Linked DNA regions of Lonchura striata. The protein of the gene in region 2 purifies or fractionates together with the protein of the main gene of each other region. This does not show direct contact. Links are inferred from orthologs where the notes say so. Each region holds a gene or a part of one and is shown on either strand. Other genes may lie near its edges.

Region 1 (7,982 bases), on a different chromosome or scaffold from region 2:
ATGTTAATTAGCTAATTAAAATTGGAATTAATTAAAATATACAACCACCAAGTTGTATTGGGGGCCCCCACTTTGGTTAATTAAATATTAATTAAATTATATTCAATTAAATGTTATAAAATAGGCACCAGGCTGTACTGGGTGCCCCCAAACTGATTAATAAACATGTTAATTAGCTAGTTAAAATGGGAATTAATTAAAGTACATAAAATAAAAGAAAAAGAGAATAAAACAAAATAAAATAAAGAAAACAAAATAAACACAATACAACGTAATACAAGACAACAAAATAAATTAAATTAAATTTTTAAAAAATTAAATCAATAAATAAAATAAAATAGAAAATAAAATAAATTACGATAAGAATAAATAAAATAAAACCAATAAAATTAATTAAATCAATTAATTTAATTCCCACTCACGTCTCCGCCGAAGTCGGTCTCCGCGGGGGGGCCCCCATTGAAATACCTGGGGGGGCAAAGAGAATTTGGGGAGATTTTGGGAATTTTTGGGAATTTTGGGAATTTTTGGGGTCCTGAAGGGTTTTGGGGTGATTTGGGGAATTTTTGGGGAATTTTTGGGGAATTTTTGGGGGAATTTGGGGAATTTTTGGGGGAATTTTGGGGGAATTTTTGGGGAATTTTTTGGGGAATTTTTGGGGAATTTTTGGGGAATTTTTGGAGGAATTTTTGGGGGAATTTTGGAGGAATTTTTGGAAATTGTGGGAAATTTTGGGAATTTTTTGGAGGATTTGGGGAATTTTGGGGAATTTTGGGAATTTTTGGGGTCCTGAAGGGTTTTGGGGTGATTTTGGGAATTTTTGGGGAATTTTTGGGGAATTTTTGGGGAATTTTTGGGGGAATTTGGGGAATTTTTGGGGGATTTTTAGGGAATTTTTGGGGGAATTTTGGAGGAATTTTTTGGGGGGATTTTGGGAATTTTGGGGGGGTTTTGGGGAATTTTTGGGGGTCCTGGGGAAATTTAGGGGAGTTTTTGGATTTTTTGGGGAGATTTTGGGGATTTTTGGGGAAATTTTGGGAATTTTGGGGAATCCTGGGGTAATTTAGGGGAAATTTGAGAATTTTGGGGGGTCCTGGAGGGGTTTTGGGGGAATTTTGGAAATTTTTTGGGGGTTTTGGGGAAATTTGGGGGTTTTGGGAATTTTTGGGGGAATTTGGGGAAGGGTCCCAATTATTAACATGCTAATTAACACGCTAATTAACACGCTAATGAGCCTGACATAATGGAGACACAGGCAATGCTTGGGGCAGGATCCCATTAATTAAATTATAACTGGTTCCCTTTAATTAAATTATAACGGGTTCCTTTTAATTAATTTGAGACGAGGGCTCATTAATCTATTAGAGGAGGGGTCTCTCTAATAAATTATCTCATTAATTAGCTAATTAATCAGCTAATTAACATGCTAATTAGCCCTCACTCAATGGCACAGACAGGAAATTCTTGGGGCAGGATCCCCTTTAATTAATTTATAACGGGTTCCCTTTAATTAATTTGAGGTGGGGCCTCATTAATAATTTAGGGAGAGGTTCCTTTAATAAATTATCATATTAATGAGCTAATTAATCAGCTAATTAACATGTTAATTAGCTGTCACCCAATGGCACAGCCAGCCAATGCTTGGGGCAGGATCCCATGAATTAATTTATACTGGCTTCCCTTTAATTAAATTATAACGGGTTCCCTTTAATTAATTTGAGATGGGACCTCATTAACCATTTAGGGGAAGGGTCTCTCTAATTAATTACCTCATTAATCAGCTAATTAACATGCTAATGAGCTGTCACTCAATGGCACAGACAGGCAATGCTTGGGGCAGGATCCCATTCATTACTTTATAACGGGGTTCCCTTTAATTAAATTATAACGGGTTCCCTTTAATTAATTTGAGATGGGACCTCATTAATCTATTAGGGGAGGGGTCCCTCTAATTAGTTAGCTAATTAACACGCTAATTAGCTGTCACTCAATGGCACAGACAGCCAATGCTTGGGGCAGGATCCCATTAATTACTTTATACCGGGTTCCCTTTAATTCTTTTGGGGCAGGGCCTCAATTATCTATATGGGGAGGGGTCTCATTAACTAATTAGCTAATGAATATGTTAATGAGGCTGACTCGATGGCGGACAGCAGGTAGTGCTTGGGGCAGGATCCCCATTAATTTATGATGGGTTCCCATTAATTAATGACAGGTTCCCTTGAATTAATTTGAGGCGGGGCCTCATTAATCATTATGGGGAGGGGTCCCTCTAATTAATTAGCTAATTAAATCGCTAATTAACTCTCACTCAATGGCACAGACAGGCAATGCTTGGGGCAGGCTCCCATTAATTACTTTATAGCGGGGTTCCCTTTAATTCTTTTGGGGCGGGGCCTCAATTATCTATATGGGGAGGGTTCTCATTAATTAATTAGCTAATGAATATGTTAATGAGGCTGACTCGATGGCGGGCAGCAGGTAGTGCTTGGGGCAGGATCCCATTAATTACTTTACACCGGGTTCCCTTTAATTCTTTTGGGGCGGGGCCTCATTTATCTATTAGGGGGAGGGCCCCGCTAATTAACTAGCTAATGAATATGTTAATGAGGCTGACTCGATGGCGGGCAGCAGGTAGTGCTTGCGCAGAGCCTCGAAGTAGGGCCCGAGGTTGGCGGTGCCCTCGATGACGAAAACCACGTCGGCCACCAGGGCGGGGGGGGCGGGGCCTTCCAGCGCGGGCACGACCATGGCGGCCCGCGGGGGGGGCCGGCTCCTGCGGGGGGGAAACAACAACGCCGTGACTCCCCGGAACCGAGCCCGAAGCGGCGACTCGCCCGCAGCTCCCCCCTCAACCCCGCCCGGCATTCTCACGGGGTTGGCGGTGCCGCAATTTGGGTTTTTAATTAACTTCCCCCCTCCCGGTTCCCCCCCCCCCCACAACTCCCCGGGGTCGGTACCGGCGGCGGCGCGCGGAGAGGAGGAAGGGGTTTTCCTTCGCGTCCGCGCCGGGCGGCGGCGCATGCGCGGAAAGGAGGGACGCGGGCGTTGCGCCTGCCTCAGCCAATCAGCGTGGAGGAAAGGAGACACGCCCCTTCCGCATTGCTATAGTAACGACTCATCGACCAATGGAATTGAAGAGGATAATAAGGAAGCCACGCCCCTTCCGCATTGCTATAGTAACGACTCATCGGCCAATCGCGTTGCAGAATAAGCCACGCCTTTTCCGCCATTGCGACTCATGGACCAATCGCGTTGCAGGGGAAGCCACGCCCCTTCCCGCCGTTGCGACTCATGGACCAATCGCGTTGTAGGGGAAGCCACGCCCCTTCCGCCGTTGCGCGGCAACCGCGGCGCTCCCGGCGTGCCCCGCGCGGGAAATGGCGGCGAGTGGCGCCAACTGAGCGGGGAGCGCGCGCGGGCAGGGAGGGGGCGGGGCCAAGGAAGGGGCGGGGCTTGAGAGGAAAGGGGGCGTGGTTTGTGGGAAAAGGGGCGTGGTTTGGAAGGAAGGGGCGGGGTTTGGGAGAAAAGGGGCGGGGTTTAGAATCAGGAGGCGTGGCTTTAGAGCCAAGGGGCGTGGCTTGACTGATAAGGGGCGGGGTTTGAAGCGAAGGGGCGTGGCTTAAGAGCAAAGGGGCGTGGTTTGAAGCGAAGGGGTGTGGCTTAGGATCAAAGGGGCGTGGCTTAAGAGACAAGGGGCGGGGTTTATATCCAATGGGCGTGGCTTAAGAGCAAAGGGCGTGGCTTGAGATCAAAGGGGTGTGGTTTAAAAGCAAGGGGGCGTGGCTTAAGAGCAAAGGGGGCGGGGTTTACCCTAAAGGGGCGTGGCTTAAATGCAAAGAGGCGTGGCTTGATATCAAAGGGGCGGGACTTGATAGTAAAGGGGCGTGGCTTAATAGCAAAAGGGCGGGGCTTATAAGCAAAGGGGCGGGGTTACTAGCAAATGGGCGTGGCTTAAGAGCAAAAGGGGCGTGGTTTGAGAGTAAAGGGCGTGGCTTAAAGCAAAGGGTTGTGGCTTAAGAGCAAAGGGGTGGGGTTTAATATCAAAGGGCGAGGCTTAAGGACAAATGGGCGTGGCTGAAGTCGAGGGGCGGGTTTATTAGTAAAGGGGCGTGGCTTATGAGCAAGGGGCGGGGTTTGTAGGCAAGAGGCGGGGTTTAAGAGGGAGTGGCCATTACAAGGGGGCGTGGCTTAGCTCGAAAAGGGGCGTGTCCCGCACGAGTGGGCGTGGCCATGTCCGGCGAGGAGGGCGGGGCCTTCCTGGTGGGCGTGGCCACGGCCAGCGGCCTCCCCCTGTTCTGCCGCCCGCCCCGCCCCCAGGTGAGGCCACGCCCCCCCCTCCCCTCCCCTCCCCCTTTTTTCGGGAGGTGACCTTTGACCCCCGCAGGTGCCGTTCCCATTGGTCGGGGCCCTGCACGGGGCGTGGCTCTTCGGGGCGGCCGCGGGGGCGGAGCTGCGGGAGGCGGCCACGCCCACGGCCCGGCTGGGCTGGGCCGGACAGCCGGACAGGTCAGGGGGCACCCAGGGGTCACTGGGGGGGTCACGGGGTCAGCTGGGGGTCACGGGGTCACGGGGTCAGGGATGGGGTCATGGGGGGTCACGGGGTCACGGGGTCAGGGATTGGGTCATGGGGTCAGGGTGGGGAGCACGGGGGGGTCACGGGGTCATGGGGTCAGGGAGGGGTCACAGGAAGGTCACGGGGTCTTGGGAGGGGTCACAGGGTCATGGGTGGGTCACGGTCGGGTCATGGGGTCAGGGAGGGGTCACAGGGGGTCATGGGGTTAGGGAGGGGTCACAGGGTCACGGGGGGTCACAGGGTTATGGGAGGTGACACAGGGTCAGGGAGGGGTCACAGGGTCACACAGGGTCATGGGTGGGCTGCGGTCAGGTCACGGGGTCAGGGAGGGGTCATGGGGGGTCACGGGGTCACTCAAGGGTCATGGCGGGTCATGGGGTCAGGGAGGGGTCACAGGGGGTCATGGGGTCAGGGAGAGGTCACTCAGGGGTCACTCAGGGGTCGTCCCCCCCCAGCCTGACCCTGATTGGGCTCAGCTTTGGCCCCGCCCCCGCCCAGATCCTCGACTCCGCCTTCGGCGCCTTGGTGAGAGCCTGCCCAGTATAAACCAGTATAGACCAGTATAAACCAGTATAGACCAGTCCCTCCCGGTCCCTCCCAGTTTGTCCCAGTCCCTCCCAGTTTGTCCCAGTTCCCTCCCAGTCCCTCCCAGTCTGTCCCAGTCCATCCCAGTCCCCCCCAGTCCCTCCCAGTTTGTCACAGTTTGTCCCAGTTCCCTCCCAGTCTCTCCCAGTCCCTCCCAGTCCCTCCCAGTTTCTCCCAGTCCATCCCAGTTTGTCCCAGTCCATCCCAGTCCCTCCCAGTCCCTCCCAGTTTGTCCCAGTTTGTCCCAGTCCATCCCAGTTTCCAGGTGCTGCTGCTGGGCCGGGAGCAGCTGCTGCCGGTGCGGAACGAGGAGAGGCTGAAACGGGAGCTGAGGGTGAGACTGGGACAGACTGGGACAAACTGGGAGGGACTGGGATAAACTGGAATAAACTGGGATGGACTGGGATGGGGAACTGGGTGGGACTGGGAGCTACTGGGAGCACTGGAAATGGGGCTGGGACAGACTGGGGGGCACTGGGAGTTACTGGGAGGAACTGGGAGGGACCGGGATAAACTGGTTTGGACTGGGAGCAATGGAAAGGGTAACTGGGAGCACTGGGAGCACTGGGAGGGCCAACTGGGACTTACTGGGAGTTACTGGGAGTTACTGGGAGGGCTCTGAGGCATTTTTGGGGGTCCTGGGGTGACCCCGCCCCCAGTTTTAGCTCCTCCTCCATTTCTGTCCTGTCTCCCCTGATTGGCCCCGCCCCTTTCCTGGCCACGCCTTCTTTCCTGACCCCGCCCCTTTTCCGGCCCCGCCCCCAGGGCTGTTTCCCGCTCCTGGATTGGCTGCTGAGCCCCGGGGGGGGGATGGGCGCCCCCTGCTGGCCCCTCCCCCCCGGCCCCGACCGTGACACGCTGGAGGTGAGGGACCCCAAAAACCCACAAATCACCCCAAAAAAACCCAAAATCGACCCAAAAACCCCTTCAAATCATCCCAAAAAAAACCCCAAAATCACCCCAAAAAACCCCAAAATCACACCCAAAAATACCCCCAAAAATACCCCAAATCAGCCCAAAAATCACCCCAAAAAGAACCCCCCAAATCACCCCAAAATCATTCCAAAAAATACCCAAAAGCACCCCGAAATCACACCCAAAATCACCCCAAAATCACCCCAAAAAAACCCCCCAAATTATCCAAAAATCACCCAATTTGGGGATTGGCCCCAAGATTTTGCATGCCGCTCCCTGATTCGCGCGCCCTGATTTGCATACCGCTCCCTGTTTCGCGCGCCCCGCTCCCTGATTTGCATGCCGCTCCCTGATTGGCGCCCCGCGCCCTAATTTGCATACCGTTCCCTGATTCGCGTTTCCCTTCCTGATCTGCATGCCGCCCCCTGATTGGCGCAGCCCCTCCGATCTGCATGCCGCTCCCTGATTCGCTTGTCCCGCTCCCTTATTTGCATACCGCCCCCTTAGTTGCATGCCACTCCCTGATTGGCGCGCCGCGCGCCTTGATTTGCATGCCGCTCCCTGTTTCGCGCGCCCCGCGCCCTGATTTGCATGCCGCTCCCTGATTCGCGTGTCCGCCCCTGATCTGCATGCCGCCCCCTGATTGGTGCACCCCGCGGCTTGATTTCCGTGCCGCTCCTTGATTTGCATACCGCCCCTTATTTGCATGCCGCCCCCTGACTGGCGCGACGCGCGTCCTGATTTGCATGCCGCCCCCTGATTGGCGCGTCCCGCGCCCTGATTTGCATTCCGCCCCATGATTGGCGCGCCGCGTGCCCTGATCTGCATGCCACTCCCTGTTTCTCGCGCCCCGCGCCCTGATTTGCATGCCGCTCCCTGATTGGCGCGCCCTGCGCCCTGATTTGCATGCCACTCCCTGTTTCGCGCGCCCCGCCCCCTGAGCTGCATGCCGCCCCCTGATTGGCGCGCCCCGCGGCCTGATTTGCATGCCCCTCCCTGTTTCGCGCGCCCCGCCCCCTGAGCTGCATGCCACCCCCTGATTGGCGCGCCGCGCGCCCTTATTTGCATGCTCCTCCCTGTTTCGCGCGCCCTGCGCCCTGATTTGCATGCCGCCCCCTGATTTGCGCGCCCCGCGCCCTGATTTGCATGCCGCTCCCTGATTGGCGCGCCGCGCGCCCTGATTTGCATGCTCCTCCCTGTTTCGCGCGCCCTGCGCCCTGATTTGCATGCCGCTCCCTGATTGGCGCGCCGCGCGCCCTGATTTGCATGCTCCTCCCTGTTTCGCGCGCCCTGCGCCCTGATTTGCATGACGCCCCATGATTGGCGCGCCGCGTGCCCTGATCTGCATGCCGCCCCCTGATTGGCGCGCCGCGCGCCCTGATTTGCATGCCGCCCCCTAACTGGCGCGACGCGCGGCCTTATTTGCATTTCGCCCCCTGATTCGCGCGCCGCGCGCCCTGATTTGCATGCCCCGCCCCCTGACTGGCGCGCCGCGCGCCCGGATTTGCATTCCGCCCCCTGATTGGCGCGCCGCGCGCCTTGATTTGCATGCCGCTCCCTGTTTGGCGCGCCCCGCGCCCTGATTTGCATGCCGCCCCCTGATTGGCGCGACGCGCGCCCTGATTTGCATGCCGCCCCCTGATTGGCGCGCCGCGCGCCCTGATCTGCATGCCGCTCCCTGATTGGCGCGTTCCGCGCCCTGATTTGCATGCCACTCCGTGTTTCGCGCGCCCTGCGCCCTGATTTGCATGCTGCTCCCTGATTGGCTCGCCGCGCGCCCTGATTTGCATGCTGCTCCCTGATTGGCTCGCCGCGCGCCCTGATCTGCATGCCGCTCCCTGATTGGCGCGCCGCGCGCCCTGATTTGCATGCCACTCCCTGTTTCGCGCGCCCTGCGCCCTGATTT
Region 2 (7,494 bases):
CTCACCTCATGGCAGAGGGCACCGCAGGGCTGGACTGGCTTTTATCTTGGAGCAAGGCATGAAAGAAACCCGGGTTACACTCCCATCTGGTCACCAGCACACATACTACAGCACATCTCTCCTGCATTAGAAGGATTCTCACTCCATCAAGATTCCTGAAAGACTGTCCTCCAGAATATTCCTGTGTAGTTCAAGTGATGCAACTAACTTCCTAGGACTAGGATACAGAGCTGCTATCTAGTTTTCAATTGCCTTACAGCACCTCAGAGACAGCTGTAAAACCTGGAAAGCAGTAAAATAAAAAAAAAAAATGGAGGCAAAGACTGCAGTTGTACTACAGACACTGCTCCTGGTATTCTTGAACTGGGTTTTATCACCAAAGGCCTTAGAAGATACATTTGCACGAACTGAGCTACTAAAATTTAGTTATTTTCGTGATCCTTCTACCTCTTAGTCATCCATAGTAGAAAACTTCATTTAAGAAAAAGCTGCACCAATACTGTTAACAAAATATTTGCAGTCCTGCAGGCCACTCTTCAAAGTACTCTAAAAATTACCATGCATATCTTAGAAGATTTGTGTTATTTAAATTAAGAATTAGAATCATGTAGCAAAGTTTAAAGAATGCTTGTAATTTTAAGGGAAATATAAAAAAGAAAGTTTGAGTTCTATAGACTATAGAAGCAACTAAAAAAATGATTGATCCATCACTACTTAGTATTTGGGGAATACTAAAACAATGCAAGAGTACTTTTTGAATATATGCATGTACTAATAAACAAATACTGAACTCTGTTGCAGGTACCCCCCACCACAGGACATAACATCCATTCATCTATTACTACAGCTTCAGGAACATTAAATGTCATTATTTGCTTCTATGCTTTAACTGATTCCCTCTGGATAAAAGCATGTAAACAAAACCTTCAACTTTAATCCTAATTCCACCCTTGTAATTTAAGATCACATATGTACAAATGTATCACAAGCTACAAAACCATCTATGGATGCTTCTATTTTACATATTTTAGTGACTATCCAAGGGCAATTACACAGGTTATTTAAAAGAAGAAGTTTTCAGAAAGCAGAAAGGCAAATGGGAAGCATTACAGAAAGGGATGGGAAGCAAGGCACTAAATGAACAACAAAGCAAAGAAAAAAGGAGACAATATATATTGCTTATCTTTTTTTCCCCACAAATTTTAATAAAATACCATACCTTGATTTCCCCACTCACCAACAAGAGTGAAGATTTAAAAACATATACATCCTACTGTAAAACCACCTTTGAGCAACTATCAATTTTTAAAGCAAATAATTCAAATTTTTCCTGAAATTTCTCAGAACAGCACTACCACCAGCATTTTTAAACACTCTCTCCCAAACAACATCAAGCAGACGGATGATTTCACCAGAAATGCTTCAGCAGTATGACATGCTGAATTCCCTACACCTTACTGCAGTCCAACATGCTGAACAGCTGCAAAGCTGCCTGACATAAACATCAGAAACGTAGCCGTATCTTTCAGTACCTCGACTTATTTTTCATATTACAGATCTCGGTATGGGCATAGAAACCAGGGCTAGCTGTATCAGCAGCGTTGGTACCTGCATATAAAGAGACTTGAGGCAACAGCCCATCACACTTACAACTGGTTTTTATTTCCTTTTGCCCTCCCAGAATAGAAAGGAAAAATTCTTATTTTGCCCAAATTCTATGAATGGCTGGAGGGATCTAAATATAAAAGTTCTGCAAAAAAAGCAGTTACCTGACTCCTACCATCAAACAAACTTCAGGCTAAAGTAACTGTGCTGCAATTAATATCAGCATATTTAAGACAGAGACGAGACAACACAAGGTGCAACCATTTTCATTACAGCTGTTCCCTAGGTAATAGCCAGAGCATTTCCTTCTAGAACCAAAAGCTTATGTAAACATAACCAGATCATATTTTGGCCATGACTGACCACTGCCTGCTTTAAAAGTTTATTTATCCGATGTAAAAATAATAGCCAGAATTTTAAAATGCACCTTATCTGAAAGACAGTATAAGGAGCACCACTGCAGTGAGACTTTAAGAGAAAGACTAGATGCAATTCAAAATTTAGGACCTGCTACAGGAACAACCCGTGCCTCTCCCGTTTCTCCTCTCCCTACTTCCTATTGTTCCGCTGTTCAGCAAGTGATGCCATGTCACGGAAGAGGGAAACCTAAATGACACTTTCATTAGGTCTTTCTTCAAAATGTTTATACCAGTAAATTAATTTACTCAGGTCTGTAACAAGAACTGGTCATACACAAAAGGTGGTTTAAAGCATTCTAAAGCCCCAAAAGCACGAGCAGACTTTGGCTTCTGAAGCAGCCAGCAAGACGACCCAAAATGGTGACTACAAGTAATAAATCATATTTTTTAAAAAGGCATTGTTAAAAACAACAACAACAAAAAACCAGTTATATGAAGCCGATGATCAGGCTGAACAGTATAAGCGGCCACTGATATACTCATAACGAGAATCCATGAAGGGAACGGTTTCCCTCGGGCACGAAATTTGTTTCTGCAAGCCCAGCCGCTACCGAAACACGACTCCGGTACAGCGCCGCGGGGCTGGCGACGCTCGCAGTCACCCAGGGGGAACCAGGCGCCGGCCGGCCGGGCTAGCGCGGGGCTCAGCGGGCGGGATCAGGCGGGCCCGGAGGAAGGACGGCACTAAGCGGGGAGCGGCGGGGAGGCAGCCGAGCCTGTGGGGCAGAAGGCGGCCGGGGGAAGGAGGGCGCGGGCGGGCCGGGGTCCCGCGCCGCTCGCTCGCTCACTCACCCGTCCTTGCGCTTGGCTTTGTAGACGTGTCCGTAGGTGCCCCTGCCCACCTTGCAGCCCTCGTACTCGAAGAGGTCCTCCACCCGCTCGCGCTCCCCGGTCAGCTTCACCTTGAAGTCATAGTCCATCTTGGGCGCCCGCCGCGATCCGCCGCCGCCCCCGGCAGCCGCGCCCCGCCCCGCCGCACACACCGGGCGGCGGCAGCAGCAGCAGCAGGAGGAGGAAAAGGAGGAGGAGGAGGCCCCCGCGCCGCCCCGCGGAACATCCAGCGGCGGGGCTGCTCCCTTCGCTCCGAGCCGCAGCCCCCGGCGCTTCCTCCCTCCCTCCGTCCCTCCCTTCGCCCCACGCCAGGAGCGGCTCCGCCGCCGGTCCCGGGCGCGCTCTCGGGGCCGCGCCCGCGCGCGCTGCCGCAAACGGACGTCGCAAACCGCGGGCACCTCCCCGGCCGCGGGCAGCGCACCACGTGGAATGGGCCGTCCCGGCGTGCCTTGCGGGCGCAGGCGCACGCCGGGAGGTGTAGTACGGGCGGAGGGAGGCCGGGCGGGCCGCGCTGCGCTGCATGCCGGGAGCTGTAGTTCGTGGGCAGGGCACGAGGAGCGCGGGGCCGCCATCAGCAGCCACGGCGAGCAGCGCTCGGTCCCTTCCCGGGTCCTTGGCTGCGGTGAATATTCCAGTCCCCGGCTCGACCCAGGCGGGCGAGGGCAGACGCGGTTGGTTCCTGCTGCTCTGAGCATCTCTTAGCACCACTATAATTAAGACAATTCCACGACCGTGAACATGGACAAAGTCAGATAAGCACAGAACACTTTCAGTTGGAAGGGATCCTTTAGGTTCATCGAGTCCAGCTCCTGGCCCTGCACAGGGCCATCCTCAAGAGTCACACCATGGACCTGGGAGAGTTCTCTAAGCACTTCTTGAGCTCCGTCAGGCTGGTGCTGTGACACTTCCCTGGGGAGCCTGTGCCAGTGCCCAAACACTCTCTGAGTGAAGAACCGTTTCCTAATGTCCAACCCAAACCTCCTCTAACACAACTTCAGGCCATTCCTTCGGGTGCTGTCACTGGTCACCACAGAGAAGAGACTGGTGCTTGGTCCCCTTTCTTCCTCCATGAGGAAGTTGCAGACTACATTAAGGCCTCCCCTCAGTCTCCTCTGCTCCAGGCTGAACAGACCAAGTAATCTCAGCTGTTCCTTCACCAACTTGGTTGCTTTGCTTTGGACACTTTCTAATAGCTTAATGTCTTTCTTATATTGTGGTGTCCCAGGCTGCTCACAGCAGTCAAGACACAGATGGGTGTCACAGTGCTGACAAACCTCTGTGGCTGCTGAGATCAGTCCGGATATTATACAAAAACTGTTGTGTTTAGCAAGGGCCTTGTATGTCACCAGTAACTGGGCATTTCCCAATTTCTCTCCATGGCTGTCACAGTCACCCATCCAATACAAAGTCAGCCAGTAATCTTGTAGAACAAGCATCTTGGAACTAAACTAAAGCGACAACAATCTTTCTCATTACAGCCCAGCTTTTGGCATTTTTCACAGTCATGCACAAATGTTCCACGTTTCATGTCAAGAATGCAGCACATTGAGTAAACAAGTGGGCACTCAAATCCCCTAACTTAGAGACATCACACAACATGAGGGCTCCTGAAAGAAGTAACAACATATTCTGGAATCTTGTGAAATCATCTCAGTTTTCAAATACAAATCTCAATTTTCATTTACACATTAGCACTAATCCCTGAAAATTGGATAGGATTGTGCCTGCTTCCCGAGCTGGCATCACTCAATCAGACTCATGTCAGATGCCCACAGTTGGACTTGCAGTATGTTCCTATGTAGCTGTTAGGGATATTATGTATGTTGAATAAAGCAATTAGGCAAACTCTACAAAAAATAAGTGTAACTGAGAGAAGCAACAAAATTACACTTTATTTGCCCAGCAACTCAACTAAATTTTACAAAAACATTGCCCAGCACCTCACTACACCAACCAAACAAACAGGTCAAGGCAGCCTAGCACAGATCAAACAATCTGGAAGATACCGTCCACCTCACAAAGTTCATCTGTCTCAGCCCCATCTCTGCTTTCAGGGACTGCTTGGCTTTGGGGATTTTCAAGGACAATAAAGACCAAGCCTGCATGGCCAAACCTACCATGTACAGTACCTCTGGCCTGCTCACTACCCTCAGTCCTATCAGCAGGGGAGGTAGCAATAACCACATTTTGGAACTCTGTACTCTTCTTTGCATTATTAATCTTTTTTTTGTGGAGGCATTGAACATCCAAACTCCTGCACATGGATCCAGTTACTGCATGGTAATTAATGGTTGGGATTAGTCCTGAGCTGAAACATTGCAGGATGTGGAAGACAAAAAATGTCTGCTTAGAAAGGAAAGAGATCATGAAGGAAAGCATGAAAAGACAATCCAGATTCATTTTCTGATGACCTGTGCTATGTTTCACATTTGCATAAAACATTTGGAAAGATTTCCAGACTTTGACAAACTCTAAGAAGTCAAAACCACACTGAGATACCCTCTTTCCCAGATTGTCGATCCTTATGTAAAAATGTTTACAAAATTGCTTGAATGTTTCTTTCCTTAGTTTTACATAGCATTTGAATTGTATGCCTTCCAGAACGAGTATAGCTGTAAATCTACTGCATCTTTGCTCTGTTTCCACTTCAGGTATTGAAACCAATGTTTGATTTTACCACGTCAGACGTCTCCAACTAAAGAGAGATTTGAAATAGAAAGCACACATTGGCTCTTTTTATGAGAAATAAATATTGACATTTTAAGGTCAACTTTAAACTCTGTTTCATGGAAAGTTGTATTCTTTTTGTGCTTCATTTTAAAAATTTGTCACAGTGTAATGTAATTTCAAGGAAGAGTTTAATTTAAGGTCCGCTCTTCAAAAGACAGACAAAACCAGGATCTGGTATTCTTTGACTCTCAGATCTCCATCCCCACAGAGGCCTTTTCAATTGATAGGATTTATCTCTTACTGCCTGTTTTTCATTCCCTTCTCTCATGCTCTCTCAGGACTGAGTTTAAAAAAATATGCTTAACACATCCTGCTGAAGTTGGAATTTTAGAGCTTTCCTCTTTCTCTTTTTTCCTCTAACAACATTCATGGTTTGCTTTATCATATCCTTCTGTTCTGAGTTTGTGTAATTTCTAATATGTCCAGAACACACATGCTTTTGACATTTTTTTGTTTGTCACCATCACACCTGTGAAGGATGTCTGAGTTCTCTGCAGGAAAGCCACTGTTACCGTATTAGCACAGGTAACATGCAGTGGGTTGGAGGCAGTTACCAAAGTCAGCTGTGACCAGAACGGACAGTAGTCAAGGAAGGCTGACACCATTAAACATTTCTGAATGTATTTCAGGGAATTGTCTTTCAGGTGAAAGCCTGGGTTGTCTGGGAACAGAATGGATTGTGACAATAAGTAAATCCTGTCACTTGGGGTATGGGAGTGTGGAAGAGGTTTTACAGTGACTTCTCTGAGCCAGAGAGAAGTTTGATAAGAGGATCCTTGAAAGAATTTCCTACCAAGGTCGTTGACATAGAAACCAAGAAAGAAAGGATAAATAAAAGAAACATGCAACTGTCGATTCCAATAAGCACTTTTTTTGTCTTTTCTGACCAATGAGTAAAGTGTAAACTTATGAGTTTTGTAAGAATGTATAAAAAGCATGCATACTATAATAAAAACAAGCTTGAAGCCTCCTGAAAATGGAGTGTTGCTTTGTTTTGTGACCATCTCAACTATGACATGGGAGTATCAATACTGAAAAAGATGGTTTTGGGAGGGGTGTGTGTTTGTGTGCTTGTGGCCACAGTGTTAGTGCTAGAGTCAAAGCCTGTGAAGCAAAGCTTATCTCTGAGAAATGTACAACAAGTTACTTGCTCTTTGTTTTGAAGTCTTCAAAAATAGAATAAAAATACAGAAAAGTAAACTTTAATATTTTAAACTTCAATATTTAGAAGTAAACTTTAATATTTTTGCTTTCTCATCTTTGTATTTTATAAACAGATAACCTACAACACTCAGTCACATCCCCATGCCATTAAAGTGTCTGCTCATTCCACTTATTAATTTGCGAAATCTGAACATACTTTTGCGTTTCAGAAAACTTTTCATGAAACTGTAGCTGCCTGCTAAAAGTTTCCCACATCCCCACAGAGGCATTCTTTAGTGGTGTGACTGAGGTGTTCCCAGCTTGGTATTGACTGAAAAAGTGCAGTCCTGCTAAGTGCTATACATCTTCCATGAAAAAGTGCAGTCCTGCTAAGTGCTATACATCTTCCATTTTTTGTTTAGTCCAGGGAAAGCTGAAGGCAAGACAATAACGTGGTGGCACTTTTTCCTTTTCTGTATGTAAAGAAAAACTGTAATATTTGCACAGTCTGATTATTTTTCAGAAACCTTGCAGGTTTTATGTGCAGATGAGTAAGCTGAATATTGGCAGCACTTAAAAACACAGATTATTTAATGCAGATAAGTGCTGATTTTACAAACAGTTTCCTGTTTGTGAAAAATGTGCAATGTGTTAAGGTTTGGGTTTTTATTATTATTATTATTTTCCCCTCAACTATATTTTACTATAAAATTGATCTAACAAAGCATCCTAGATTCTGGCTGGAGTGCAAGTTGCTAACAAACAT
Region 3 (7,268 bases), on a different chromosome or scaffold from region 2:
GGTTTATTGGAGAATTCAGGGATGCCCAAGCCTCGTGCTCTCAGGCGTAGCACGTGGCTGGGCTTAGGAGGACGGGGGAGGGGAGAGAGAAACGGAGGGTTTAGGAGAGGGGAAGCCCCAGGGAGAGAGGAAGTCCAAGAGGGGAGGAGAGGGCCAAGAGGCCGCATGGCCGCTCAGAGCCCCCTTATTAGGGGCTCCCAGGTGGGCTGGGACAAGGTATGGGCCAATGGGGTTACAGACTCTGTTTTAGGGGCAGGTACAGAGGTGCGGGATGAACCACAATTTTTTGCAGGGTGGGATGGAACAGTCCATTTCACTCCAGGATTCATCCAAGGGTAGAAGTGACATCCGGCTAGCTAAAATAACAATCATATCTATCTATCCTCTGCAACAGGCTGGAACAAGACTTGGGCCAATGGGGTTACAGACACCTGATGTTTTAGGGGAGGGTTACAGGTGTGGGGTGAACCGTACATTTTGGGGGGTGAGATGGAACAGTCCACTTGACCCCTGGACCCATCTGTAGGCAGGGACATTGTCCGGCTAGCAGGGAGGACCGTTCTCATCTTGGCTGTATTATTTATGAATAATTACATTTATCTATCCAACAGCTGGCCACCCCAGACCCTGTGAGGAAGACCAGGTGGAGCAGAGAGCAGCTTCCCACCTGCTCTGACATGTCCCGAGCCAGGAACTTCAGGTGGGTGATGGCCGGGTACTTGTCCTTGCGCGCGGGGTCGGTGGTGCAGCGCATGAAGAGGGAGGGCAGGATCTCGGTGTCGATCTTGCACTTCTCGTTCACCACGCTGACACACACCTTGTAGAACTGCACGGGGGACGTGCTGCTGCCGTCGGACGTGGCCACCACGATGTTGCCCCCGCCCGTGAAGGCGACGTCGGCCAAGGCCACGCGGCAGCGCAGGCGGCACAGGCTCTCGGTGGCCGTCAGCACCTGCCCGTTGGGCTTGAGGAGGGACACGGTGACCAGCCCGCTGATGGTCACAGCAATCCAGCCCTCCATGGGCTTCCCCCCAAACAGCGTCAGCGACGGGGAGAATTTCACCCGCGAGAACTTCTCGCCGAAGTTCGAGGCTCCGGACTGTAACAAAGGTCAGCAAAACCAAAGTGTTTGCGGCCAAAATTTGTGCCTGCGGGGCTCTTCTCGAGGGACAGGGGCAGGATTTATGTGGGACATCCCCAACACAAGCAGGGAACTTGTGCTCGGCAGCTTTGGGCTTTCAGAGTCTGCAGGATCACACATGAGGAGCTGAGGTCTGTGCACAAATGCCCAGATCAAACCTCAGCACTCCATATGCATTTTCTCTGAATCACCACAGGTGAGGAAAGAACTGCTCTATCTCCGTGTTCCTGCCTAGAAATGAGGTACCAAACTAGGAGAGACACACCTGAAACACCAAAAGAAACAAGGCTCCAACCCCCCTCAGAACTCAGCAGGAACCAGGAATCTGACTTCTCTCTGACTGCAAAAATTCCCCAAGGCCACAAGAGAGCCCAGAGCACGGAACACAGGCAGGATCCTGAGTTCTCTGCCAAGACCTGAGCCAGAGCTCCAGCCCAGATCCCCCACGGAGCTGAGACAAACCTTCTCCACGTGCAGAGCCAGCTTGACGCCGTTGTGCAGCCAGGACAGGGCCACCACCGGGTCCCCCTCCACCACGCTGCCCACCGTGTTCTCCCAGCTGTTGGCCAGGTGATCTGTCATGCCCCAGCACTTGATGTGGCCATCAGCATCTGCTGAGAGCAGCCTGGAGCCTGTGACAGTGACACTGCATGAGAATGGGGGAGAATGGACAAAACCCCACAAGGAATTACAGCCTGTGACAGTGACACTGCATGAGAATGGGGGAACAGAGAAAACCCCACAAGGAATTGCAGCCTGGAGCCTGTGACAGTGACACTGCATGAGAATGGGGGAAACAGCCAAAACCCCACAAGGAATCACAGCCCACCCCTTGGGGACATACACAGCAGGGGTGGGACACGGTGCCAATGTGGAGGGAGCCCAGCCCACCTGACTGATCCCACTCCAAACAGGTGATGACTTCGGTGTGGCCCGAGTTCACAGAGTAGACATCCCAGGGGTGCTCGGTGTCGATGATATGGACCATGTGGGTGAGATCTGTGTGAACAGAGAAGTGACTCCCTGTGCCTTGGCACTGCTCCTGAGCCTCAGCTGGTGCAGGGAAAATATAAAATATTTTATAGAAATCATTTGGGGCAGGGTAGCAACTCTGCTGGGAGCTCAGTGAGGAGCCAGCATGGTGTAGATTTGGGAAGTCGGTGCTGGTTTAGAGGAAACAAACGCGTGTGAGACGCTGCCAGAGGCTGAGGGATAGAAGGAAAAGGAGGAGCAGCAGCCCGGAACTGCCCGGGGCAGGGCAGAGCTGCGGCCCGGCGGATCCTGGCCTCTCCCGGGAGCACCGGGAGCTGCCAGCAGGGATTTCCCGAGGGGCTCCCGGTACCTTTCTCCTCTTCATTGCGGAGGTCCGTGGTGAAGGCGATGAGGTTGCGGCAGGACCAGGCGCACACCAGCGGGATGGAGGGGCAGTGGTTGCTTTTGGGCTTCTTCTCCCACTCGCACACGTAGGCCAGATCCATCCCACCGGGACACGGTACACCGGACACGGTACACCGGACACGGTACACTGGACACGGGATACTGGACACGGGACAGCCTCGGTCCTGCCTGGGGGCGACACAAGGCCGGTCACACACAGGGAATCCCAACCTCAGGGGCCATGGGGGGGGGCACAGCCCTGGGGACACGGGTGGGAACAGCCCCGCACCGGGACAAACCGCGGCGGTCCCGGGGGGAGCGGCCCGCGGGTACCGACCGTACGGCGGGCAGGAGGATCGTCCCCCCTCGCCGGGGACGGTCCCGGAGGTTCCGGGGGGTCGCGGGGAGGCCGCGGGAGGCTCCCGGCCCGTTCCCGGCCCGTTCCCGGTCCGTTCCCGGTCCCGCCGCCCTCACCGGCGCCCGCCGCTCTGCAGGACCCCGGCCCGCCCGCGGGCTGCCCGGCCCGCGCCTGCGCCGCGCGCTCAGGCACTGCCACAGACACCCCCGCAGAGAGAGCCATCCAGCAGGGTATAATTACCATAACAAACTACCCACAATGCATCGGGCAGAGATAGCAAACATAACCGGCGAATTTCGGACAATTTGGGGAAAATCCAAGAAAATAACAGAGAAAAAAACTGAGAAACACTTGGGAAGCTCATTCCGCGTCTAATATTGGGCCGCACCTCATTCACCCTATCATGACAATATTATTTCTGTGAGTCTTTAAATAGCGCTGCGGGTGCAGGGCAGTTCGTGCTCGCTTCGGCAGCACATATACTAAAATTGGAACGATACAGAGAAGATTAGCATGGCCCCTGCGCAAGGATGACACGCAAATTCGTGAAGCGTTCCATATTTTTCGCACCTCCCCGCACCCACATTTTCCATCCCGTGCCCCACCAGCTGCTCCGCCACCCCCCAAAAACCTCCCTCCTCCCCCTCCCCACATGGAGACACAGAGCCGGAGTAGGGGAGCACCGTTTTTATTGTTTCTGAACGCCACACCAGCCAAGGAGGAGCGAGGGGCGCCCCTGGCTCTGGGGGTGCCCACGAGGGGTTCCCCAGGCTCTGGGGGTGCCCACGGTTAATGGCAGTCGGTGTCATCATGCTGGGGCAAAGCAGCCAGCAAAGATCCCCAGGGCACGCCCTGCCCCGAGCAAACCTTGGCACATGCCACGAAGCCGGGGGGCACACAGAGAGACCCCCAGAATGCCCCCATCTGCCCCCATGGCAGCTGTGGAAAAGCAGAGAGAGCCCCGAAAGGGGCTGCACCCCTCCAACACGCACGCACGCACGCACACACACACACACACACATGTAAATATACACACACGTGATAAAAAACACACAAGCTATATTACACTTAAAAACAGCCCCGTGGGGTGGGCAGGGCACAGGGCGTGGGGTAAAAAGCATCCGGAGCTCCCCACGCCCCGAGCCCCCCGGGACACCCGGTGGGCACGGGGCTGCGGGAACGCGGCAGCCCCGGGGCTCTTCCGCCGGCTCAGCGATTGCTCAGCAGCCGCCGGGAGCTGTTTCACCGCAGAAAAATCTGGACCGAAATCACCCCACGAGCGTCAGCGCCACAGCGAGGCTCGGCCCTGCCTGATTCTTTTTTAAAAACACCTGGGTTATATAAATAGACACACCGACAGTTCCAGGAGGGATGCGCGGGGAGCCGGGGCGGGCCAGGGGCTCCTGCCCCGCACCCGCGGCCAGCACAGGCACAAACCCCCGGCTCTGCCCCGCCGAGGCTCCGGGAGAGGCTGCAGAGGACACAGGAGGGGCAGGGCAGCTGTGGGGGCATCAGCTCATCTGCCCCAGGTAGTCCGAGAGCAGCAGCTCCGGGGGCAGGAACACGCGGTGCTTGTTGCTCACTTTCATCTGACGTTTCCCTTCGATGTCCGAACCTGCGGGTGGGACGGAGCGCTCAGCACATCCCTCCTCCCCACCTCGGGGGTCTCCAACAGGCGCTCCCAGCCACAGCCCTCCCCTTTTCCCCCTGGGGCTCGTGGTGAGATTTCTGTCCCCTGTTTTCTGTCCCCTGCCGGCACCACGGGCTCGCTCGCCATCATTAGAGCTCAGGCTGATGGCCACAAGCGGCTCCGAATGAAACGCTCGGCAGCAGAGCCTCCTCCGGAGGGATGGATGCCTTCCCTGCCTTGGCAACAAAACCTCTGGGGGTGCCCAGGGCAGTACGAGAGCGCGGCTGCTCCTCGGGAGGAGGAAGCAGCTGCAGGAGAGGGAACCCGGCGAGCAGATTCCTGCTCTGGAGCACCCAAATTTCCCGTCAGAGCTGGGTCCCGGCGAGCCCCGGGTGTGCGGCTGCCCGCAGCGCTGGTGACACGGCCGGGGCTGCCCAGGGAGCTCCGGGCACTGGTGGGGAGGGAGCAGGCAGGGGAGGGACCGCGGGGTTATCTGCGAGCCCCAGGGCGAGGTGGGACCGGCAGGAGGAAGGGAGGAAAAGGCAGAGCTGGAGAGGAGAGATAGTGATGGAGGGAAGGGGGAAAAAAACAACAACAAAATCAAAATCGACCAAGCGGACACGCGGCTCTTACTGGCAGAGACGAGATCCATGTACTGGCAGAGCGCGTGGAGCAGGAGCCGCTCAAAGCTGGGGGACAGGGGACAGGGTTAGAGCCTGAGCAGTGTGTCCCACAGGCTGCCCTGCCCTCCATCCTCCCAGGGACACAAAGGGGAGCACAAAGTGCCACGAAGCCCTGCGCAGGCATCCCCAGGTGCCTCCCTCCCCCAGGGGCTCCACGGGGACCAGGCCAGGTGGGTGTCCCCAGGTGGAGAGCCAGGCCTGGCTGAGGGGAGGCTGAGGGGTGTCCTGTGCTCCCAAAGCCCCTCTGCAGGCTGGGGCAGCCCTGGGGCAGCCCTGGGGCATGGGGAAGCCCAGCACCCCGAGATGGGGGAATACCTGTTATCCATCAGTGCTGTGTAGACAGAGTGCGGGGTGACAGAGAAGAAGGCCAGCAGCTCCTCCTCCAGCCCCTCCAGCGTCCCCTGTGAGGAGAGGCAGGGGCTCAGCGAGGAGGGGACAGTGCTGGGCACAGCCCTGGCACAACTGATTCCCCAAGACTTGCTGCCAGCAGCTCCCGGGCAAGTTATCTGGACGGGAGACAGCAGGGAGAGGAGACATCTCCCATCTCCAGCCCCTGAGGCAGGGAAGGATCCAGCTCCTGCCAACTCCACACTGTGTGTGCCAAGGGCTGGCACCATCCCTCGTGCTCACAGCAGCCAGGGGAGCCCCGTGCCTCCCAACAGTCAAAGCTCAGTGCTCTGCTGCTCTGCGGAGCTCTGTGACCCCAGAGATGAGCAGCACACGCGTCTCATTGGAAGACAAACAAGCCAGTGGGCAGGAGGAGCCCAGGCTGCATTTAGAAGCTCTAATTAGCACAAGGCAAACAAACAGAGCCCCACAGAGCAGAGGGAGCAGGGAGCCAGCACCCCCAGGACTGGTAGAGCAAGTGTCTGGGCAGGCAGTGCAGGGCTGCACTCACCTCTCTCCTTCCTGCTCAGCAGTTGGTGCACTTTTACCCCCTTTCAAAACACTCTGGAGTTCCCCCAAATAACCTTGTGTGGGCCACTGTGAAGACCCTAAAGGCTCCACTGCTGTCCCCATGCACAAACACGCCTGGTTTCACCTGTCACCTGCTGTCATTGCACAAAGACTGAGAAACTACCACTAAAAAAAAAGCCCTGTAACTACCAGAAAAATCTGAACCGAGCCAGGAAACCCCACGTGCCGGGAGCTGGGTGTCTCTGCAAGCAGCCCCAGCGCGTTCCCAGGAGCTCCTCTGAAATCCTCTGCACAGGGTCAGGGCACAGCTCTGGGGACAGGGACCCCTGGCAGCCCCAGCTCTGCTGCCCCAGCCTCCAGCTCACCATGGGGATCCTGCCCCTCTTCAGGGTGGCACGCAGGCGGCGGCTGATGCGCTGGAAGCACTCCTGGGGCGTGTAGGCAGGCAGCTCTGGACAAGGGAGAAGGGATTTGGACACAGCTCACAGCTCCAGAGCCCACAGTGTCACTTTTTGGGAGGACCCAGTGTCCCCCCCCGCCCCGTGCCCCCTTCACAAACAGCAATGCTCTCCCCAGCACAGGAGGGTCGGGGTGCAGAGATTTGGGGGTGTGACATTAAGGGATGGCTGCTGTGCCATCATCCCAGCCACTCCTGGCTCCCACAAACCCTCCCTGGTCCATGGTGGGGGTCTGCAGGCAAACCCCCACCCTGTCACACACAGGGGGTGGGCTCAGGCATCCCCCAGCCCCACCATTAACAGGGAGTGGGTGCAGCCCTCCCAGAATGTACACAAGGAAGGAAAGGGAGAGGCTGTCCCCACCCTGCGTCCCCTCCCAGCACCTTTCCACTTCTCTTCATCCTTGACAGGCAGCTTCCTCCTCTGCTTCTTCCTGGCCTCCTCCTCCAGGTAGAGCAGGACCCGCTCCTGCTCTTCTCCCGACCGGTTCATGAAGTCGTTCCAGATCTGACAACAGAAAACACCAAGCCCCACTGCAGAGGTCTGTGGGGTGCAGCTGGCAGTGCAGGGCCACCCCCACACCCCTGAGCCCCCTCCTCACCCTCTTGTCCTCAGGGATGGCCCGAGTGCCACACCAGGGAGAGGCCACGTTTCAAAACACCCGGTTACAGGGCCAGCATGAGGCAACAGGGCTTTGGCAAGG
Region 4 (7,186 bases), on a different chromosome or scaffold from region 2:
ATTAAATGCCAGGATGTGAAAGCGTGGCGCTCACAGCGAGCGCAGAGCCTCTCGGGGGGCAGAATTCCCACCCTGGGCGATGGCAGAGGCTATTTATGGAAACATCCCTGCCCAGGGCACGCGCTGAGCCCTCCACTGCCTGCCCCAGCCCCAGAGAGGCTCAGATGGCGGTTTGGGGTATCTGCCCAGCCCAGGAGAGGCTCACATGGGAGATGTGGGGTGCCTGCCCACCACCAACACCCCAGTTGCTTTGCCCAACCTCACCGAGGCTGCAAGGTGAGCAGCAGCACCAGCAGGTCCTTACCTGGGAGCTGATGGCGTATTTCAGGTAGGATAAGATGAGTGGGTTTGGGGATGGCCCAATCATGGCCTGCTCCAGGAGAGCCTCTGCAAGGAAAGAGGGTCCCAGGTCAGCACATGGGGAACACACGGACACAATCTGCTCTCCCCTCATTCCACAGGGAAGCTGGCAAAGTCCAACTGTACCAACCACAGTGACTCCACACCAGTTTTTCTCCTAAATTCATTGAATCCCACAACTTCCTAATCCCTGACGGGCACAAGCCAGTGAATAATTCAGGCAGAGCTCGCAGCCTCCTGCTAACACAGCTCTTCAGCGCTCCAGCCCTGAAATTTCTGCTGCTGCTCTCCACATTCCCCTCCCTCCCAGTTCTTGCCAGGAGGCTCCTGCAGCCTCCACTGAGTGTCTTTTGCCCAGGCACCTGGGGCTGAGCTTGGGGCCACCAGTCCCCTGCACTGGGCGCAGCCCTGCCCGTCTGGCCCTCGGTGGCCTGAGGGGCTCTGCCCGTCCCATCTGCTCAGCCAAGCCTTTAATTGTCCATTTGAGCCATGGCAGAGTGCAGGAAGCACCACCCCGAGCAGGCCCCGGGCTGCAGCACAGGCTGCAAGTAGGTCAGAGCACCCAGATGTGAAAGGGGGAGCAGCAGCCGGGTGGGAAGTTGTCACCCCAAAGCCGAGGAGGAGAAGCCACCACCGGATCCCGAGTGCAGGAGAAGGAGACTCCCTGGGTCTCGCTCCAAGGCTGAATCCTGGGCCAAGAGCGTCTGGGATGAGGACAGAAGGCTGGTGGCAGCCGTCCCCTCCCCAGCCCATCCCAGAGTGCCACCACGAGCCAGCCACATGCTGCTCCCTGCTGCAGACGTGTCAGCAGCGATCTGCCAGGCCCTGCCGTGATCCTGGCAGCTCGTGCCAGCTTTCCCTCCTTTGTACTTCCAAGCTGAAAGGGGCACGAGCTCGGGAAAGGACAGCTCTGGGGGCTGTGGTGAGGAAGGGAGCTGCTGGTCCAGCCATTGGGACCTCGGGAATGGGCTCTCCCTGTGTGCACACAATACCCAGGGTCACGGCCAGCACCCTGCCCGCGTGGCTCCCAAAAGGAAAAGGGGATACAGCTCCTTCTCCTCCTGCTCCAAAGAAGCCACTGAGCCTTGGGTAAATGTGAGCCAGGAGAAACCCATTCCTGCAGAAATAATAGGGAATTATCCTCCCTGCGTCTGTTTTTGGGGATACACAGACGAGCCCAAGCCAAGTACCCCGCAGGCCTCACTGCCAGAGGAGCAGGAGCCAGTGCCACCAGGGTGGGAACAGACACCTGGGAGCCTCAGGGACCAGCTGGGCAGCAGCAGGACTGGCCCTCAAGCCAACCACCCCCACCCCCAGCAAATCCATGCAGAGCAAATCCATCCCCCCACGGCCACAGCTCCATTTGGCCCCTCCAGCCGCACCTCAGAGCTGACAAACCCAGCAGGGACAGCTCAGCAGTGACAAAAAACAGACACTGACAGAAAATCCAATGAGAGGATGAAGAGAAGGGAAAAACATGCACAGGGGAAAGTTCCCCACACTCAGAGGAGTGAGAGCTGCTGCCTGTGTGGGGCTGGTTCCTTTAAACTCCCTGGAGCAGCAGCTCTGTTTATTTATCCCGGGACTTGCTGCACAGGGAAAATCCCAGCACCAAGTTTCTATAATTAGCAAGAGAGCCTGGCAAATCTTTAAACCAGTCCTAGCTTTTGGCAGGATTTCTGTGAAATGCCCTTGAATTGGGCTGGGAAGCAGCCTTGGGAGCAGCACCTGGCTCCTGTGCAGTGCTCGAATCACGAAATCGGGGAATCATTAAGGCTGGAAAGACCTCCAAGAGCATCTCACCATAACCCAAGTGCCCTGGAGCCACATCCACATGGCAACTCCACCACAGCCTGTTCCAACGCCTAACCACCCTTTCAGTGAAGAAATTTCTCCTAATTTCCAACATAATTCTCTCCTGGCTCAACTCAAAGCTGTTTCTCTCGGTCCCAAAAGCTACGCTGTGCTGACCCCTGAACCCTCCCATGGGGGAAAAGGAGGGAATGATCCCAAAACGGGGACAGCGGGGTGGGGGGGGACAGTTGGGAATGGACTGACATGGTTGGGAATGGGAATTTTGGCGTGAAAAGTGGTGTGGGAAGTGGGGACCCAAAATGCGACAAGGGACCCCATAATACCCCTGCCTGCACCCCAAAGAGGGGAACACTGGGGACAACACCCAAATAAACGCGTGAGGACCCCCAAAACATCCCAGTGTGCCCAGTAAGGAGGGGGAACCCCCCGCCTCCCCCCGACCTGCCAAGTTGAGGATGTCCCAGGTGGCTCCGCGGGGGAAGAACCGCTTCATGTTTATGGCCCATTGATAGTCGCTCCAGCGCTCCTTCCAGGCCTGCAGGATGGCCTGCTTCAGGTTCACCACCTTCATGGTCACCCCGCGGCCCGACAGCTCAAGGCGAAGGGGGACGGAGCCCTGACCCGGCCGGGCAGGGCCGGACAGAGCGGGGAAGCGGCCCAGCGGCTTCGGAGGGCAGCAGCTGGGGGTCTGCCCGCTCCCCGGCCCTGAGGAGCCCCTCGGAGCAGCCCCGGAACCCCTCGGAGCCCCCGAAGTTCGGTGCCCGGGGGTCCCGCCGGGTCCCGCCGCCCCTCAGCGCGGCCCGGCGCCGCCCTCAGCGCTTGGGCACCGCCATTGCGGCGCCTGCCAACAAGCCGCACGCTGATTGGGCGGCGGGGCGCGGCGGGCGCAGGGGGTGATGGGAGTGGTAGTTCGGGGGGCTAGGGCGGGCGGGGGCGGGAGTGAGTGTGCAAAGGGTGGGTGGGAACGGGGGGCGAGTGTGCAAACGCCGAGGTGAGAGTGCAAACACCGTGTGGGTGAGCAAACGGGGGAGGGTGGGCTAACACGGGGTGTGTGTGTGGAAACATGGGGTGAGTGTGAAAATCGGGAAATGGGATTTGACATGCAAACACCAGAGGTGAGTGTGCAAATAGGGTGTGTGTGCAAACACGGGGTGAGAATGGGGGGTTGAAAACACGGGAGTGGGCAAATAGGGGCGGGTGTGCAAATAGCAGGGGTGTGGAAAGGTGGGGGGGTACAAACACGGGGGGAAGGATACGTGTGAAAATGAGGAGTTGTGCAAAGACAGGGTGAGTGTAAGAACAGGGGATGTACAAACGGGGTAAGTGTAAGAACAGGGGATGTACAAACGGGGTAAGTGTAAAAACAAGGGATGTGCAAAAATGGTGCAAAGGCGTGAGTGTGCAAAGGCTCTGGGGTGGCAGCACGGATCTCCCAGCATGTTTCTCTGTGCGTTTGTGCAGGTGTGCACACAGGACAGTGTGTGTGCACGTGTGTACACACAGATGTACAGATGTTCACACACGCACACACATGAGCACAGGTGTGCACACCAGTGTGTGAGCACAGAGGTGTGCCCGCGTGCGTGTGCAACCACAGGCGTGCACTGAGGACTGCGTGTGACACAGGCGGGTGTGTTCACACGTGTGGATGCACATGAGTGTGTGCGGTGTGTGTCTGTGTGTGTTGTTGCACACACGCGCAGACACCAGCACCCCCGGGCGGGTGTGCACGCACAGGTACCAGCGCAGGGGTGGGCACACACGCGTGTGCAAGGCCGTGTGCTGCAGACACGTGTGTGCACACACGTGGCGCCGCCATGGGCCTGGGCTGCCCCCCACCCCCTCCCTGCAGTACCAGCAGCTAAAAATATCCCCAGGGATGGTGCCAGCCGTCGCCATGGCAACGGGAGGATGGGGAGCAAGGCTGGGGGGCAGCCCCCCAGAACTGACAGCCCCCCCCAGTACTCCCAGCGCACCAACCCTCCCAGAATGCCCCCAATAGCCCCCCAGCACCCCTCCTGCAACCCAAACACCCCCAGGCCTCTGCACCCCTAGAACACTCCCAGCCCCCCCAAAACCCTCAGTACCCCCAGAATTCCCCAAGGGAACCCCCAAGGCTCAGGAGCAGGGTGAAGACCTCCAGGGGGGCTGGGGTGGGAGCTCAGTCACACCCCCCCCCCCCTCCGCGCTGCTCCGGGGGGGTTTCGCGGCCCCTTAATTCCCCGGTTAATCATTCATGGGGCCGGGGCGCAGCAAATCCCCCCGTGCCGGGGCCGGGATTAAGCGGGCCAGCGGCTGCCCGGGCGGCGAGGGGCCCCGGCGGCGGGGGGGACACCCCGGCAGCGGGGGGGTCCCGCCGGGGGGGAGCCCTATCCATGAGGAGGGATTTCCTGTGCAAGGGGGGGGTCGCTTCCCACAGCTGGCCGTGGAACAGACACCACGGGGGTCTCCAGGCAGGAGGGGCTCTGAGGAGCCCTGCTGGACCCCCCCAACCCCGGCACAGCACCCCCAAACTCCGGGGCAGGGGTGGTGGTGGTGGTGCTGGCAGGGTCGGGGGTGGCAGGGGGTGCTCGGGGGGTCGCAGCTCCCCGGGGTGCCGCGGGGGCGGCCGGCTGGGGGGAAGGCGTCGAAGCCTCGGCGCCTTGGCAGGGAGCCCCGGCACAGCTGCCTCCGGCCCGGGGCCGGGGGGGCCGGAAGGGGCTGGGGCCGTTCCCAGCGCCGGGGGCAAGCGAGGGGCGAGCGGGGGCCAGCGTGAGGGGCTTCCCCTTCCCACGGGGTCAGTGGGGTGGCTGGGAGCTCTGGTGCCGCGTCCTGCCGGGGGGCACATGGCTGCTGACTGGTGTTTGGTGGGGTGTGAAGGATCTGATCCGGGATAGAGGGACACCCCCATGGGGCCGTCCGGACCCCCCAGTTGGTGGTGGGTGCTGCCCCATGGGGGTAGCCAGTGCTGGGGATGGAGGTGCCTGGTGTCATCACCTTCTTGGGGGTCCTGGGGGGCACCACTGGTGACTTGGGGCTATATTTAGTGTTTCTGCCACAGAGCAGCGGGGTGAACTTTAATGAGCGTGTTCCAGCCAACTAGAGCAGCACAGCCCCTCTAAATCCCAAATCCCCTCAGATCAGGGTCTGCCACAGGGCACAAGGTCCCCACTCTACTGGGGCAGTGCAGAGACCTGTGGTGGCACTGGGGGAACCTCAGTGGGGACGGGGAGCTGGTGATGAGCGCGAGAAGCGCCTGTCTGTGTGCTCCAGAGAGGCCACAGGCAAACTCCAGCTCTGCCTCAGTTTCCCCAATGGGATAGAGGCTGTCAGGCAACCTCAAGCAGGGGGATCTGGGGACATGAGGTGGTGTTGAGATGGCTGAGCCCCATAGGCTGGGGGCAGGCGAGCTCAGCCACAGCCTTATCGCGGGCAGACGGCTGCGGGGGGCCGTGGCCGAGCCGTGTTTGCTGAGGATAAAGTGTACGGAACAGGCGGGGAGGGACGGGGGGGCCGTCACGCTGCTGCTGCCCCGCCACGCTGGGACCGCCAGCCGTGCGGATGAGGGCCCCAGGGTGACCCGGGGGGCCAGGGGATCGATGGGGGCTATGGGGACCACCGGCCTGTGGGGACCGGGGGCAGCAGGAGGTCCATGGGTTCTGTGGCAGTCCCAGGTGTCGCTCTCCTCCATCCGCTGGGTACCCCCATCCCCTGGCGACCACCTTCCCCTGGGGACTCGCATTACCTGGGGACCACCATCCCCTGGAGATCCCCGGGTAGCACTGCCCCCTTGTTGTCCCCATTCTGAGCAGCACCGTGCCCTGACAGCCGCTGGCCCGTGGGGACCCCCCCCTCACCTTCCCTGGGTGTTGCCTGCGCTCCCCAAGTGTGGGAAACCATCCCCTGGGTACACCCCTCCCAAGGAAACCTTCATCCCTTGGAGACCCTCCTCTCCTAGAAGCCTTCATGCCCGGGAGACCCCCATCCCCCTCATCCCCTGGGTATCACCGCACCGCCCGTGCAGCCCAGGGAGGGGGGTACCCAGGGGGCTGGGGGGTGGGGGGCGGCCAGACTGAACCCCCCGGGGGTCCCAGGGCCGAGCTGCGGGGCTCCGGGCGGGGATGAGGGGGGCGGCAGAGCCGCTTTAAGCCCGGGCATGACGGGACGTGTAGTCCGGGGAGGAAAAGGGGGGGCTGGGAGCACGGGCTGCTGGGAAGGGGGTGGGGTGGCACGGCCGGGTCGGTGGGCGACCCTCAGCGCCCTCCCCAGTGATCCCCCCCGGGCTCCCGGTGCCGCCGCCATCCCCAGCCCCACGGCGGCTCCGGGTCCGGCCCCACAGCGGGGTACGACCCCCGTTGTTCCCCGTCCCACACATCCCCCGGGGGGCGCAGGGGCAGGGCCCCCCGACGTGCGGGTGTCCTGCGGGATTGTCTCCTGCCCGGGGCGGTGTGGATCTGAGGGGGACCCCCGTGTCTGGTGTGTGCCCCTCCCCGGGCCGGGCTGGGCATCCGGGGTGTGGAGCTGCCCCTTGCCTCGTGGGCACTGTCACCAAGCCCCATGGGGACTGTCCCAGATCTCCTTGAGCATCATCTCCACCCCACCGCCACCCAGCGAGGGCACCGTCCCAGCCCTTCCTGGGTGCTGTCCCCAAATCCTGTAGGGTCACTGTCACTATCACAGCATCGCCGTGGGCACCGTCCCCAGCTCCCTGCGGGTGCCGTGCCCTGCCCTCGTGGACACCAGGTTGTCACTGTCACAGCATCCCCGTGGGTGCTGTTCCCAGTGCCTGTGGGTACCATCCCCGCCCTGCCACGGGCATCCCCCTGGGCCTCCCTGGGCACCGTCTCCGGTCCCCCTTCGGTACAGCCCGCCACGCGGTGGTCGCCATCCCCCGTCCCTGTTGTCACTGTCACGACATCCCCGTGAGCACCGTCCCAAACTCCTGTGGGCACCAGCTTCACCCCACCACGAGCACCGCCCCAGGATCCCGGGGCCCCAAACTCCCGTGGGCACTGTCCCCACCTCCCCGTGG

The links.
Region 1: the proteins of CDK8 (region 2) and MED25 purify together in Homo sapiens (affinity purification with mass spectrometry; 8 studies listed by BioGRID and IntAct, counting the BioPlex papers as one, with this or other methods). This does not show direct contact. The link is inferred for Lonchura striata from reciprocal best matches to the Homo sapiens genes CDK8 and MED25.
Region 3: the proteins of CDK8 (region 2) and MED16 purify together in Homo sapiens (affinity purification with mass spectrometry; 10 studies listed by BioGRID and IntAct, counting the BioPlex papers as one, with this or other methods). This does not show direct contact. The link is inferred for Lonchura striata from reciprocal best matches to the Homo sapiens genes CDK8 and MED16.
Region 4: the proteins of CDK8 (region 2) and MED24 purify together in Homo sapiens (affinity purification with mass spectrometry; 13 studies listed by BioGRID and IntAct, counting the BioPlex papers as one, with this or other methods). This does not show direct contact. The link is inferred for Lonchura striata from reciprocal best matches to the Homo sapiens genes CDK8 and MED24.

What each region holds. Positions count from the first base shown.
Region 1 is NC_134640.1:2,261,076-2,269,057, forward strand, and holds the start of MED25 (mediator of RNA polymerase II transcription subunit 25), read right to left. Parts: upstream 3,018-7,982; 5' UTR 2,961-3,017; intron 2,777-2,960; 5' UTR 2,752-2,776; coding exon 2,618-2,751; intron 469-2,617; coding exon 423-468; intron 1-422. UniProt on the Homo sapiens protein: Component of the Mediator complex, a coactivator involved in the regulated transcription of nearly all RNA polymerase II-dependent genes.
Region 2 is NC_134604.1:69,723,962-69,731,455, forward strand, and holds the start of CDK8 (cyclin-dependent kinase 8), read right to left. Parts: upstream 3,008-7,494; 5' UTR 2,945-3,007; coding exon 2,817-2,944; intron 1-2,816.
Region 3 is NC_134630.1:4,456,200-4,463,467, forward strand, and holds the start of MED16 (mediator of RNA polymerase II transcription subunit 16), read right to left. Parts: upstream 3,013-7,268; 5' UTR 2,993-3,012; intron 2,965-2,992; exon of another isoform or gene 2,856-2,964; intron 2,708-2,855; 5' UTR 2,620-2,707; coding exon 2,484-2,619; intron 2,141-2,483; coding exon 2,033-2,140; intron 1,774-2,032; coding exon 1,604-1,773; intron 1,100-1,603; coding exon 668-1,099; intron 1-667. Other genes in the region: R3HDM4 (R3H domain-containing protein 4), read right to left, coding at 4,388-4,491, 5,140-5,195, 5,505-5,590, 6,473-6,558, 6,949-7,072. UniProt on the Homo sapiens protein: Component of the Mediator complex, a coactivator involved in the regulated transcription of nearly all RNA polymerase II-dependent genes.
Region 4 is NC_134627.1:7,031,991-7,039,176, reverse strand, and holds the start of MED24 (mediator of RNA polymerase II transcription subunit 24), read right to left. Parts: upstream 3,012-7,186; 5' UTR 2,747-3,011; coding exon 2,617-2,746; intron 388-2,616; coding exon 305-387; intron 1-304. UniProt on the Homo sapiens protein: Component of the Mediator complex, a coactivator involved in the regulated transcription of nearly all RNA polymerase II-dependent genes.